Linked DNA regions of Notamacropus eugenii. The protein of the gene in region 1 interacts with the protein of each later gene in a pairwise test. Links are inferred from orthologs where the notes say so. Each region holds a gene or a part of one and is shown on either strand. Other genes may lie near its edges.

Evidence for each region.
Region 2: the proteins of VENTX (region 1) and TBX22 interact in binary tests that used the Homo sapiens proteins (3 or more experiments, as listed by UniProt). The two-hybrid records come from large-scale screens. The link is inferred for Notamacropus eugenii from reciprocal best matches to the Homo sapiens genes VENTX and TBX22.

The regions. Positions count from the first base shown.
Region 1 is NC_092872.1:291,926,848-291,933,805, forward strand, and holds VENTX (homeobox protein VENTX), read left to right. Parts: upstream 1-4,495; 5' UTR 4,496-4,538; coding exon 4,539-4,788; intron 4,789-5,318; coding exon 5,319-5,545; intron 5,546-5,664; coding exon 5,665-6,012; 3' UTR 6,013-6,250; downstream 6,251-6,958. UniProt on the Homo sapiens protein: May be involved in ventralization.
Region 2 is NC_092879.1:76,582,161-76,589,908, forward strand, and holds the start of TBX22 (T-box transcription factor TBX22), read left to right. Parts: upstream 1-4,659; 5' UTR 4,660-5,209; coding exon 5,210-5,396; intron 5,397-6,085; coding exon 6,086-6,233; intron 6,234-7,034; coding exon 7,035-7,136; intron 7,137-7,748. UniProt on the Homo sapiens protein: Probable transcriptional regulator involved in developmental processes. This is major determinant crucial to palatogenesis.

The sequences.
Region 1 (6,958 bases):
ATGTGCAAACAGAATGAGGTGGCTTGCCTGGGGTCACACAGCTAGTAATTGCCTGAGGTGGAATTTGAACTCTGCAACTCCAGAGTCAAGGCTCAGTTTTCTAGCTGAGGCATTTAGGGTTAGGCCCACCTCGCCGCCCAAATGCTTTACAAATGTCATTTCGCTTTATCCTCATCACAGCCCTTCAAGATAGAGACGCTGTTATTCTCCCCATTTTTTAGCTGAGGAAACTTAAGCAGACAGAGGTTAAGTGATTTGAGCAGCATCGCAGTCACAAAGCTAGCACGTGTCAGGGGTCACATTGACTCCATCTCATTGGACCACCTATAGAAGAGGAGCAGGCGGTCAGGTAGGTCAGGACAGGACAGACAGACAGAGATGAGGTGAAGGGCTGGGAGTCAGACCTGGCTTCAAAGCCCACAGGCTCACCTCCCTGAGCTTCCTCTATACCTTGAAAAGACTCGCACTCTGAAGTGGGGAAGGGGGCACAGGGGTCCCTACCCTGACAAATATCACAGCAGTGCTGGCCACAGGTGGTGCTTCGTAGGAATCATTTCCCACTTTCTCTACTGAGTTCAGGAGTGTTACATCCAGTAGAGGGAGCCACACTACCTTCCACTCATACAAGAAGAGAAAGAACCACCTCCCCCTTCTCCCCTCCTCACCTTTCTAGGATAGGTGACTGTGTCCCATAGTCCTAGCTCCACCGCAGCCTCTGGGAGAGATAGGCTAGGCCCCCCCACTACTAAAACAATTAGGCTTCGAAATCCCATTAGTCTGGGAAGTAAACAATGGTCTCATTCCTTTCCAGCCCAGATTCCAAGGCTGATCCTCTGGCCGTCACCCCTAGGACCAGGAATCCTGGGAAGTGGCTCCACTGGAAATCCACAATCAGTGAATGGGTTGCTTTGGCCTTGGTCTCCGGCCCCTCTGCCTATCTTGCCCAGGTGCCCACCAGAGAAGGTAAAGCTGCTTCTAAATTCCTCCTCCTCCCCTCCATGGAGTCAACACAAGGAAGGCCTTAAGGTGTCCTTTCAAACACACTGGAGCTGTCCAATAAATAAATGTGCTTATAAGCCTTTCCTAAGTGCCTGTGATGGGCCACTCAGCCCCGGATAAGCCTTTTTCAGATCACTCCTTGGTTCTGCTTGGTGTCACTGCTGGGTGCCCCAGAGCATTTCACTGACCACAGGCACAGTATTCTGTTTGTGGATGGGATGGGGAGAAGAAGATTGGTATGCTGGCTGTGTGACCCTTCATCCCCTCCCAAGCACAGCCTCCATTTTCTACAAGTTGGTAAGAAAATGGTTAAAGCTGTGAAAATGCACATGATTATCAGGCTGGGTCTTCCCAGGCCCTTCCAAAAGGGCAGGCTAACAATTCAATCACTTTATCTCTAATGAGATAATGTATGCAAAGTGCTTTGCAAAATTGCAACCAGAGGCTGTGATTATTCTGACAAGCCTGGGGCCCCAGCTGGGGGGAGGGGAGAGATCCATCCACAATTAGGTATTAAATGGGGTTGATTTCTGCCTCACCTTCTGCTAGGTTAAAACACGACACTCTGAGAATGGTCTTAAGACCCCCAGGACACCCAGGAGAGCTTGGCCAAGTAAGAGTGAACTGCCTTCCTCACCTTTGGGCTAACCCTCACCAGCTAGATGTGGACCTGAGACTCCAGGTCCCTTTTAACTGCCCCCATACTCTCTGCTGGCAGTGACAGGGACATCCAACAGTCTTGTATCTTCTGAGGATGTCAGAAGCCTGTTCTTTGACTACACCAGGAACTGTCTCCAGAAATAAGGGCGATCTCTCCCCCAGGATGTAATTAGTCAAATTCTAAACACACACACACACCTAATTTAGTGCTTAAGAACCCAGGCTGACACAAAATCCCAGAATTTTAGACCTGGAAGGACTCCCAGCTATTCTCTCATTCAACCCTTCCATTGGACAGTTGTCACAATCACAGTCAAAAAAGAACTTTAGCCCTTGGGGTAGTGATCCCAAAGCAGCACTGTACTTTGGTCCTTTCTCCTTAGCTTTTACTTTCCAAGATCACAGGAGTACAGATCTGGAGTTAGAAGGGATCCTTGAGGTCTTCCAGTTCGATCTTCCCACTCTACAGATGAAGAAATTGAGGCACCCACTTCAAAGTTAAACAACATGATCACATGAACTGCATTAAGAGACAGAACCAGGGTCTGAATCCCTGTCATCTGACTCTTTCCACTAAGTCTCAGTATTTTTTACTTACTCCCATATTCACTCTTTTTTGTCATTGTCTTTGTTTTGTTTCATTTCCTTCTAGTCTGCTGTATTCCTCCCCAGGTCTAGCTTGTCAACATTCTTCTTGAGAAGCTCCTTACTCTGGTTGACCAGGATCACAGGCTTCCATCAGGACCTGAAGAACCACCCTCCCCCAACCTCTACCATCTAACCCTTGTGCCTACCCATTGTCCAGGTGGTGAAGCTGAGGTCCAGCCCAAGAGGGGGGTGAAAGGACATGCTGAGAACTCACACAGAACAAGGGATAGGATGGAGCAGAATTCAAATGTATACATAGATACATACAAATCAATAAACAGTAAGCACCTACTATGTGCTATACCCTGTGCTAAGTGTTGGAGATACAAAGAAAGGTAAAAGATGGTCCCTGACTTCAAGGAGCTCATGGTCCAATGCAGGAAGCTACAAGCAAACATGCACAGATAACCTCGGTGCCAAATAAATAGGAAATAACATGGGGAAAGACTTCCTGGAGAGGGAGGGATTTTTACTTGGGACTTCAAGGAAACCAGGGAAAGCCCTGAGGCAAAGGTGAATTGGAAGACCAACCAGGGTTTTGGGACTGCCTGGAAAATGCCCAGAGCTAAGAGGACAGGGTCAGTTCAGGCTGTACCACTGCATCATAATGTCTCTCTCTCTTTCTCTTTCTCTCTCTCTCTCTCTCTCTCTCTCTCTCTCTCTCTTTCTCTCTCTCTCTCCTTCTCTCTCTCTCTCTCAAGGAGGTGATGTGGAAGATAACTAGAAAAGCAGGAGGGGCAACTTATGAAAGGTTTAAGTGACAAAGAAAAGATTTTATATTTGATCGTGGAGGTAAGGGTGAGCCGTGATTAGTCAGAGCTGTGATTTACAAAGGTCACTTTCACAGATCACAAGAGAAGAATGGACTGGAGTAAGCAGAGACCAGCAGACAGACCAAAACTAGTGCAGTCATCCAGGTGTTCGGTGATGAGGACTTGCACCAGGGTGGAGGTGCTGTCAGAGAGAAAGGGGCATATGTGAGAGATGTGACAAAAGTAAAACCAATAGGCCTGGTAATCGATTGGATATGGGGGGTGAGAGAGAATGAGGAGCTGAAAATGACACCTAGGATATGAGGATGGGGATGCCCTGCTGAGTGACAGGGAAGTTTGGAATCTGGAAGGGGCGAGTTTGAGGAGGAAGGTAATCAGTTCAGTTTGAGATTTCTACCGGACATACATCATAAGAAGCAGTTGGAGACAGACTGAAGGTCAGCAGAAAGGTTAGGACTGGATAAATCGGTCTGAGAATCACCAGCATAAAGATGAGACCTGAATACTTGGATGCTAATGAGATCACTAAGGAAATAGTAGAGAGATAGAAGAGTTAGCTTCTTAAGTGTGCATGCCCATGAGAGCACTGGAGAAGGAAATGTTAAAATCCCCCCCAGGATCTTCACCAAGTAAACCCCATGGATAGTATGGTCCATGGGGTCACAACGAGTTAGACAGGAAGGAACAACGATGTGTAAATGCATATATTTGTAGATGTGCATCCCTAGGGGAAAGGATGAATATTAACTCTAGAGGAGTACGCAGAAGTGTCCTTTCCATTGGTTTTATTATATGGGTTGGACTCTAAGGCCCCTCTGGAAGCCCCCAACCTAACCCACAAACCAGGTCAGTGACTGGGTTATACCTGCATTTATAGGCATGTTCTCTGCCCAAATTGTAGCATGTATTTCCTTGGGAGAATGGCTGGACTAAAGAAGTGGGACTTTCCGGGGAAGGATCTGCAGCTAGTCTTTCCTTGCAGTATTAACAGAGTACCTAGAACAAAGTAGGCCCTTAACAAAGGTTTTTTTAAACTATTTATTGACTGAACTAGACAGAAGCCTCCAGTCCAACGGACTTTAAGGGAGGGAGACCTGGAGGAGCCATTTTCTCGGCATCCTCTTTGGGCCAAGATAAGTGGGGGAGAACTAAGGAGTCCTCTGGGGGAGGAGGGAGGGTTCGGGGGGGGGCGGGGGGGGAAAGGAGGATGTAACTACTGGGACGTAACCACCCGGAGAAGGAACTCAGACATCTAGGAGCCAGCAGAAGTGCGAAGGGCCCCCGGGGTGGGGCTGAATGTAGGACAATTAGGTGGTACTTATCGGAGCCTTTGAGGTTTGTTTATGCAAGCCAGATTGGGGGGTGGGCCCTCAGCCGGCCCCGCAGCTTATATAAGTTTCACCCTGGCGCTCCCAGGAGAGTTAAAGTCCATCCTTTTTGGTGCCCACCAGTCTCATAATGACGAAGGCCCCATTTTCTGTGGAATGGCTCTCTCAGAGCAGCCAGAAGCCCTCACGCCTCGGCCAAGATGACTCAGAGGCTTCCACTGCAGGGAAAGGCCGAGGCGACCAGGTCCTTGGGGGGGATCTTATTTTATCGGGCCTTCCTGATACCTCGGGGTCAGAAGGCCCTTCTACGAGTTCGTGGGTCCCGACGCTACCCGCCGCCGCCGCCGCCGCCGCCGTTGTCAGAGAGTCTTCCTTAGTCAGTAAGTGCTTTCTCCAGGTGTGGTGGTCAATAGAGGAGACCCCGAACTAGAATGGGGTGTGGAGGAAAACCATAACACACGGAAAAGGGCTGTGTTTGGAGGGGAAGAAGAGAGAAGGCGGGCCAAGGGCCAGGGTGACTGGAAGGGACAAGGGAGACAGCACTGGACTGGACTGGACTGGACCAGGCCAGCCCAACAGGGGGACTTGCTGCTTCCGAGAAAGTCCGATTCCTGTTGGATAGCCTTTCCACCAGAAGCCAGGAGCGCGGAGGTCAGGTTCAAGTTGTCTTTAGGGGGCGAGGCATTTGGGGAACTCCTTGCCACTCAGGGCCACGTGTTTTGACCAGTAAGGAAGCACTTAGCCTACCAGCCTGCCCTAATTGACCCATCCCTACGAGAGCTAGTTGTCATTTGAAGATATTCCTGACCTCCCTACCAGAGCCGAAGCTCAGGCCCTCGGTGAGGGTGTGCCGACATGTCTAGGTGGGAAGGCCTAGACTTTCTAAGCGCCGCCTCACCTCTCTCCCAAGAATCCAGGTCTCTGGGCGAGGAGGCTTCCCCTGAGGTCAACAGTGGCAGCTGCGGGCTGTCGGAGGGCCCAGGCCCTGAACCCCATTCCCGGGGCGCTCGCCGCCTGCGCACGGCTTTTACGACCAAGCAGATCAGCACTCTGGAGAGCTCCTTCAAACGCCACCACTACCTGGGCGCTGCGGAGAGGCGCAAACTGGCCGGCAAGATGCAGCTGTCAGAAGTTCAGGTACCCAGACGGGCAGGGGGGGGGCTCCCCACTCCATTCCACCCCACCCCTCGAGCCCCGGTTCTGCCGCCAGCCTGCGGCGATGCTCAACTTGACTTTGACTTGTTGGGCTCCCGCAGATAAAAACCTGGTTCCAGAATCGCCGCATGAAGCTGAAGCGCCAGCTGCAGGATTTGAGGCCCCCCGACCCTCCTCCAGGCTTCCCCCTCCATCTCTACAGCCCCCTGCTTCTGCGCTCTACACCAGTCCCGCCACCAGGCCTGCCATACGTGTACCCCAATTCGCCACAGCTCCGAGTCCCCAGCCTCATCCAGGAGCCCTTTACTGGTGGCCTGGCCCTCCCATCTCTACTCCCTCTGCCTTTACCCCCCAGTTCCTGCAAAGTGGCCCCTCCTGCCATCCCGTCTGTGCTGGCCTGTTTACTGAGCGGTTGCCCAGACCAGGCCTCCTTCCTGAGGGCCTTGTGACGTTGGAGGCCTGCCCCTCTTTCGGGGTGACATTGATACTGAGGAAGGAGAGATGAGACTGGACAGGATAGGACATCTCTAGGAGCCAAAGTCTGACAGGACCTGGTGAAAGAGTCCTCTTTGTTCCACTGGAGGTCCTCAAATATGAACTTATGTATATATTTGCAAAATTTTGTCAAACTATTATGTACAGAAAGAACTATTTATGGAAATATTAAAGAATAGTTGATGTTTTTAACGTCTTATGTGTGCATATGTAATTTGTGAAAGAAACCAGTCCACTTCTGATCAAGATTTCATTCCAAAAGAAAAACAAGTTTGAAATCATTACAAAAGTGGGAGGTTTAGCAGCTGAGATGGGGAGGGAGAAAGACCAGGGAGGGTCATCCTTTCCTGTAGGAGAGTGTGGCATTTTAGAAAATAGGGCCAAGACAGAAGATGGAAAGTGGAGGGAGGTTTGGTTTTTCCAATGTGTGAAAAACATCATGGATAATAAGAAGGGAAGACCCTTAAAAAGTACCCAACAGAAGAGCATCTAAACCTGGAGGTAATAGGGGGAGCCAATTCAATTGGGGTAATGAGAAGGGAAGACCCTTGAAAAGTGCCTAAGCCAATTCAATTCATTGGCAAGAGGTTAGATCCTCATCAATTAATTAGGCTGAGAATTCACTAGGAGCCAAAGCTGGGGGTGTGGGGGGATCTGCTCCTGCACATTTTGGGGAGGTTAGGGTTGAGCAGAGAAAAAGGGAAGAAGGATACAGATTGGGGGAGGAATTCCATAAGTCAACAAATACCCTCCACTCAATTTGAGACCCCTCTAACCATAACCATAGTGTAAAGCAAGGGTTTTACTCCTATAATGCTGGCTCCTACCTACCTTAGGGGTAAGAATATCTAGATTCTACCTTTTAAAAACTGGAGGAAGCCCCCAACCCCATCTGGGAGC
Region 2 (7,748 bases), on another chromosome or scaffold:
ATTTCACCTCTAACAAGAGCTCACATGTCCCTTAAGGGGCATCTCATACCTGCTGTAACTTCAGAGACATTAGATAGGGACCAGAATAAGGACTAGACCAGTAATTCTCCAGGCAGAGGGAATTCCCAGATAAGAAAATGCTCCCTACCAAGGCAGTTCAGTGCCTTTTCTGCAATTTACAATCTTAGAGAGCTGCCTAGAGTACTGAATGGTTAAGTGACTTGCCTAGGATGACACAGTCAGCATGTCAGGCCCAGATCTTCCTAGCTCCCAGGCTATCTTTCTATCCATTGTGACTCCATGATGACTCTCTTGCAGAGCCCAAGTAGTCCTACCTTTAATACATCACCTCCTCCCCCCCTCCCCCCCCCCCCCCCCCCCCCCGCCTCCATTGCAGCATCCTGTCTCACTTCCCCATGTCACATGCTTATTTTTCCAGGCTCTCTAAAGTCATCCTTTACTATGACATCTTACAATGAGGATTTCCAAATTGTCATCAGTTTCCCCATTCTTTTCTCTAATCTGACCATCCATGTGGACCAGGGCTGTTCTGTATTCTTCCACTATTCCTCTGTGGTTTGCATGGCCTTTGGAAAACTCTCTCCTCCAAAATTGTATAGGTGCCCTGGGGCTGAGCAAGATCCAATGTGCTAAAGAGACCATCCAGCTGTGGTGGATGAATTGTTGACCTGAGCATCTGCCACACTGAGCCCCAGTACCTGAAAGCAAAAGACTCTTGCAGCTGAACTTGCAAAACTATTGCGGAGGGGCTGATTTTCTGGGGGTGGAGAGGTTAACAGGAATTCCGGGAAACTACTCCCGGGTTCCAGACCCATTGGGATATACACAGGAAGAGCTTAGCTACATTGCTTCCAGCTATGCTGTCAAATAGACATTCAATTGGGAATGGTAAAGCTTGCTCCAAAGTAAGAAGTATCTCATCTCCAGATTTCACATTTGCTTATCATTATTTTGGGGGGATTTTTTCCCCCAAGAAAAACAGTTCCCACCAACCACAAAAAGAGCTCTCTGGAACATTAATCCAGAAAGGAACAGCTAAGACACTTTTCTGCCTTGATTTTAACAGGAATTCAACAGCCCAAATACATTTCCCCTCAGGCTACTTCCTACCCTCTACAAAGAATGTGAACCAAACTCAAGCAAGAACCTTCATTTAGAAGAGATCCTTTCAGACTTGCCATGGTGGCTGAGTAGAAGATTTTTGTAGATTCCCCCAACATTTTCTCCGTTCCATCCCTTGTCCAAGGACCTGAGGGAAACAGAGCTAAACTCGTTCCCACTGGGCAGGCCATCTTCTGGCCAGGATGGAAAGAATGCTTAAGGACTTCTTTGCCTTCCTTACTTTGTGCTGGCAGAAAGCAAGTTTCATTGATTTGTGGCCAAGATCATGTCAGGAAATGGTGTCAGAGCAATCTGTCTTGAGCTTTACCAAGATTTTCTTCATGTTGGGTCACATTTACACCATAAATAAAACTTGGCACTCCTATCTGCAGACATGGAAATATATTATAGAATATTAGGAGATAGAATTTTAGAGTTTAAAGGGACTTTAAAGATCAATGAGGCTAATAGATGAGAAATTGAGACTCAGAGAGAATGACTTACCTTAGACTACTGGGCTAGTCCAAGGCTTGAAGAGGGTGCCTCTTAACACCCAACCCAGTGGTTTTCTCTATTACAATCACACTGTCTTCCCCATTATAAAGCCAAAATGCTGTCTTCCCAACCCAGACCAGACATCAGTTCCCCCACCCCTGCTTTTTTTTTTTACTTCAGTATTTCAAAGGCACTCCCTTAACCAATGCAGATAGTAACCTTTTTATAACTTGGTATAAGGGTGTTGCTGTGGTCAAAAATTTTAATTTCATCACCCTGTGGCCAGCCTGGTGCTGAGAATCTCTCAGCTTACTTAGGCTGGTCCTTGGATGTCAGATATATGGTCCATCCCCAGCCTCTATTCTAAGTTTTTCCTGCTTGGAAAGACATGTTGGTGTTTGTGCTCCCCTGGCTGAGCATTTGAGAGCCTAGGATTACCTTCACACCATCACAAAGCATTGGGGATAACTTCACCAAAGGATAATAATTTTTTTCCTGAAAACAAATGGCAACCTCATAGTCCAAGTGAATTAAGTTATCAAACTGAGAGTCATGGAAGGTGTTTTGCTGGGGGTTTTTACTGATGTAATAGCTAGCATTTATATAAATAATTATGTAGGGTTTGCAAAGAGATTTACGTATATTATTGAATTTGACCCTCCCGGTGAGGAAGCTGAGGTAAAGTAACTTGTTCGGGGTCACGCAGCTAATAAAGATCTGAGGCAGGATTTTCTCTATTCACTGTGCCACCACTGATGTATCATGGAAAATAGTGAGTAAAAAGGTAAACGTCTTGTTTCAGGTCACATCAAAAATGTGCACTAAATGGGACTCGTAGCTGAGACTATAAGGTGAACAGGCACATTCCTCAAGATCATTCAGATACCGCAGTTGTATATTAAATGGCATAAAGCAGGCAACCTTGGAATAAGTAACACCTTAGCTAGGTTCACATCCAGGTCTGACATATTGGTAACTGACTGCCCATGGGCAAGTCACTTAACTTAGGAGTAGCCTCAGGTACCTCTCTAAAGACTGCAATTAAAGATAAATTGTTGATCTGCTTGGTAGGGGAGAGTTTCTAGGTCAGAAAGTTCCCTAAAGCAATGAAATCATTGACCAGATCCTCCCACCTGTGATTACTTTGTAGTTAGACACTTTTGAAATGAGGTAGAATATATTGCATTTTATTTTGGAGGCAATCCAGATGAAGTGACTTGCCCAGTGTCACACAGTTAGTAAGTGTCAGAGGTCACATTTGCACCTGGGTCCTCCTCACTCCAATGCTCTATTAAGACTCTATCTACTGCAGCACCACCTAGCTGCCCCCAGCAGATATTTTAAAGGGCAGTTCAATGACTGCGGTGTCAGAGGACAATAAGACGGTTGGAGAAAGCTCAGTTTCAGTCATCTACATACATGGGGGCAGCGGGAAGACTTGGAACCGTAGAACCTAAGTTCAAATTCTAGCTCTGCTATTTGTGTAACCTTATGCAAACTGCTTAACTTCTGGGCCCCAGTTTTTTTTATAAAATGAGGGGATGGGACTAGATGTCTTCTAAGTTCTCTTCCAGCTCTAGAGCCATGATCCTATCATATATACGGACATAGATGATTACATGGTTATATACATTGTCTCTCTGTCTTTTGACAATCAGCCTAGCCAAGTTCAGAGAAGATCATCACCAAGCTGACTTATGGGGTAAATAATTTTTCATCCTGAAATACATTTAGAAAGCATAGAAGGTTGCCCTTGTTATTCAGATGTGCCCCTCCCTCCCCCCCTCCCCCACTGATGAAATTACAGATCCTTGAAGAATTGATATGTAGGGCACATTAAAATATTGGATTCAAATGTGTGTGTATGGGGGGGGGAGGAAGGAAAGGAGAAAAGAAAAGAGGAGAGGAAGATGGGGAGAGAGGGAAGGAGAAAGGGAGAGGGGGAGAGAGAGGGAGATAGGCAGAGAGAGAGAGAGAGAGAGAGATAGAAGGGGAGAACAAGAAAGAAACAGAGAGGGGGGGAGAGAGAGAAACAGACACAGAAAGAGTTTGGTTCATCTAGCTATACAGATATATGTACACTCATCAGTTGAGAGCAGAAAAGTACATTCCCCACAAAGACTAGATCAGGGATTCTTAGCCTTTCTTGTGGCATGTTCTGTTTAGACAGTCTAGTGAAGTCTCTGGATCCCTTCTCTGAACTGGGCTTTTAAATAATTGAAGGAAATGTTAAATCTCACTGAGAGCTAAGTGAAAATAAAGATCTAATTTTTTCCTTATCTGAGTTGAGGAACTCGTTGAATTCTACCCATGGATGCCTTAGGGGGTCCCTGGACCCCTGGTTCAGAACTACTTGACTATAGAAGAAAGAAGATAACAGAAGCTTGCTGAGGTCTGCTACCCTGAAGGTTCATCATTTGTCTGTGAGAAAGAGAATCGAATTGGGACCAGGGCCATAGGAGGTAGGACTTTTATCGAAGAGCGAGATTCCCCCCTTCCCCTGTTGGATGACCCCCAGGCTTGGGCAGACGTCTCTCTCCGGCAGATGTATGTTCCCGACCTTTTCTTTCAAGTCAAAAACTTCAAGCCTCCGGATTAGGGCAGGAGCTGGCTAAGCTTATGGTTTCTAGCTCTAGGGCTCGCACTTGTAAAAACTTCCAAACCTGGGCAGCTCGAAAGAGAGCCCTGGGGTTCAGTGCACTGGCCATCCCGCCCCCTAGACCTGGTTTGGTTATCCCTTCCCCTGTTCCCGGGAACATCAGCCCCCAGCAGCCGCCTGCGCTGGCTAGCCAAAAACCCCGGGAAGATTTTTCTGGATCTGGTTAAACACTATTTGCACTTTTGTTGGAAAAGTGGCCCCTCGTGGGCAATTATGTCACATTTCTTTGAGTTTTACAATTTAATGTAAAACAGTAACCTTTTATTTATCCTAGACGAGGCCGTCTCCCTCTCTCCCCCCTCCTCCCTCCCCCTTCCTCCCCCTTCTTCTCCCCTCCCTCCCCCCCCCGCCCCTTCCCCCCCTCCCCCCCCTCGCCGCCCTTGCTCTGAAATGTCACTCAGCGTGCTCTTTTGCTTCCACCAGTTTCCAAAACAAACAGCGGAGGCTGCAGGCTGCGGGCCGGGCCGGGCTGCCTCAGTGCCTGCATCCGGGCGGGCTTACTGCTCTCCCCGGGCTGCCTGCCGCGGCGCCCCCATTGGAGCTCCCCAGCCGGTCCTCAGGGCAGGGCTGCTCCCTCCCAGGTCTCCCCTTGCCAATCTTGTAGAACCATTAGGAAAAAAAATGAACGGGGGGAGATTTGACCACTGATGGTCCCCACATGTCCGATGGGAGCAGGTTTTTGGTGTTTTTTTTTAGTCAGAAATCTCAGCTCTTCCCCAGTCTATAATGAGGAGCCTCAGGTCTTAATATTGATCTTTCTTCTCCTTTCCTCCTTTAGAAAATTTTGGGGAAAGACAATTCCATTTTCGACTTTTTGGATTTCCCCTTCACTTCCTCCTGCCCTTCTCCCCCCACTCCCAACTGCTCTCCCCTCCCCCAAGGATCAAGTGGAAGCTTCTCTTGCTCGTGTAGATTCCGTTGGTTCCTCCAGGGATGGCTTTGAGCTCCCGAGCTCACGCGTTCTCCGTGGAAGCCTTGGTGGGGAGAGCAACCAAAAGGAAACTCCGAGACTTGCGGGATGAGCAGCCGCCGCAGGATCTGCTGGAGAAAGGCGATGTGGAGGGAAAAGAGGAAGAGGAAGACAGAGAAAACCGGGTGCTGAGGAAAATCGAGGAATCGGGTCAGTATCATCACCCTTCTCCCCCCACCCCAAACACAGCAGCAGCAGCCTGCTACACCGCGGACGCCAGAGGTGGCCAGCCCAGGGAGGCTCCTTGGCTATCTTGGGTGGGCGAGGGCCTTGGCTGGGGGTCCCATAGCTTTGGGCAGCCTACTTCTGGGAGCAGCTGCCAGGAGAACCTGAGAGGGACTGAGAACCTGCCTCTAGGACAGAGCTCCCCAGATTCCTTTTGGGATGCACAGTTCCCCAGCCATGGGGAGTGCCAATGAAAGAGGGAAGGCCCTGCGCTAGGACTTAAGCTCAGTAGAGCTGCGGCCCCGCTGCCCCTCATTCCCTCTAAGTGTTGTGGGTTTGAGGGACAAGAGCGGATTCTTTCCCAGTGACCACGGTGGGGGTAGGATGGGGGTCTCCTTCCCTGAAATACTTCACTTCATTCGGAGGCAACTTGAGGTGGCCTCGGACTGAGACTCCTTATTTGTGTGACTGCTCAGGTTACTAGTTCTCTCTGACCATATTTCTTCCTCTGTAAAACTGAAGTTGGAACAGATGATCATTGAGGTTCCTTCCAGTAGTACCGGTCTGTGAAATGGGCCGGGACCTGCTGTCCTGGGGACAGGTCCTAGGCGCTGGAGGCAGCCAGGAAGGGAGAACCTGGAGCACAAACACCTTCCATTTCTGTCTCTGGGCAGAAAAGAGACCCAAAGTAGAAACTTCGACGACTGCTTTCTCCGAAAATCCGGAAGATAAAGATAACGTCCAGGCAGAGCTCCAAGGCTCCGAGCTGTGGCAGAGATTCCATGAGATTGGGACTGAGATGATCATCACCAAAGCCGGCAGGTAGGCAGGCCCCTGTTTCCAGAACCCAACCTAGGAGGATCCTGGGGCAGACAGCACCATCACTAGACACCTCCCACGCAGGGCAGGAACCTCTTGCGGAGCTATCTAGGCTCACCCTGGTACTGAGGCACATGCTCACCTCCAACTCGTGGAGTCAGCTTCTCCTTGAGAGCCCAGAGGCAGCCGCTTGCCAGTGGGTACTCTCAGGGTCAGTCCTTGAGCCCACTTCTAAATAAGCAGCTTTCTTTGCCAGTAAAATTGCTCTAAGCCCTGTCAGTTACACGGGTCAGGGAGTAAATTACCCACCCGAGGGTCAGAGAGATTCGGAGAAACCCATAGATGGGAGGTGTGCCTCGCCCAAATCCTCTCATTTGCACCTAGCTCGAAATTCTCCCAGTGTGCTTTCCTCCCATCTTGCTTTAGCAAAGGAACAGAAATACAGAGAATGAGTTGAGTGTAGGGTTAGCCCCAGATCGACTCAGTCACAATTTAAAAGTTCCCAGAGTTCACCTCTCAGAAACAATTCAAAAGAACCTTTGCTTGTTTGTCCCTTTCCCTTTTGGAAGCAGCTCTGTTAGATCATACACAGGGAGGGAGCCCTCCTCTTCCTGGAGAGTACCAACATTTCAGCCGATGCACAGAGGGACTCCCAAGCTTCTCCCGTACATTGCTTAGGCCTTTTCTGCCGCTAGTACTGAATCCTCTTCCCTTCGCACTTGGAAAAGCGAGGCAGCCAGCCTCCCCTCCGGCAAATGTTTTTCAAGGCCAGACAGAGCAGAGTGCTTTCCGTCTCTTCTGCAGGCGAATGTTCCCTTCTGTTCGTGTCAAAGTGAAAGGGCTGGACCCTGTGAAACAATATTACATTGCTATTGACGTGGTGCCAGTGGACTCCAAAAGATACAGGTAAAAGGTGGACGGTAGCTCAAGTCCAGCGACATCACAAACCTGGCAGGCTGCTTGCTCTGACTTGGGAACCCAGGATCCCCTAACAAACAGGCCGGTTAAAGCTAAACTCTTCCTCAGCAAGGTTTTTACAATGCAACTCCACTGAGCCGCATTGGCTCCTACTGGTCTTGCTCTGGTCTGGGCTCTTGTATGAGGAGGGGAGGGGATCTCGGCTACTTCCTTGGGTGCCATGCTGAGGACCAGGTTCCTGTCTTGGTGCTGGCAGGTACCACATAGTTCTTGGGAGACCCATGCCACTCTGAAACTTCAGCAGGAGAAGGGAGACCTTCATGTGTCCTCAGAGCTCAGAAGGGAAAAGGGACATTGAGTCTCTCACCGTTGTGCCACAGGAATCGGCCACTGTCCTTTTCTTTACCCAGTGACTTCCCAGGCATTGAGAAATCCTGAGCCCTTTCAAACCAAGACAAAGCTTATGGGCATTGCTTAGGCTGCCAAGAGGAACAGGTTTCCCTCAGGGGTTGACCTGGCACCGTTAAGCTTAGGACCTTCGGCGTTTGGTGTCAGTGGCCGTAAGCTGTGTGTCTGGTTGGCTGGAGCAGAGGCTATCCC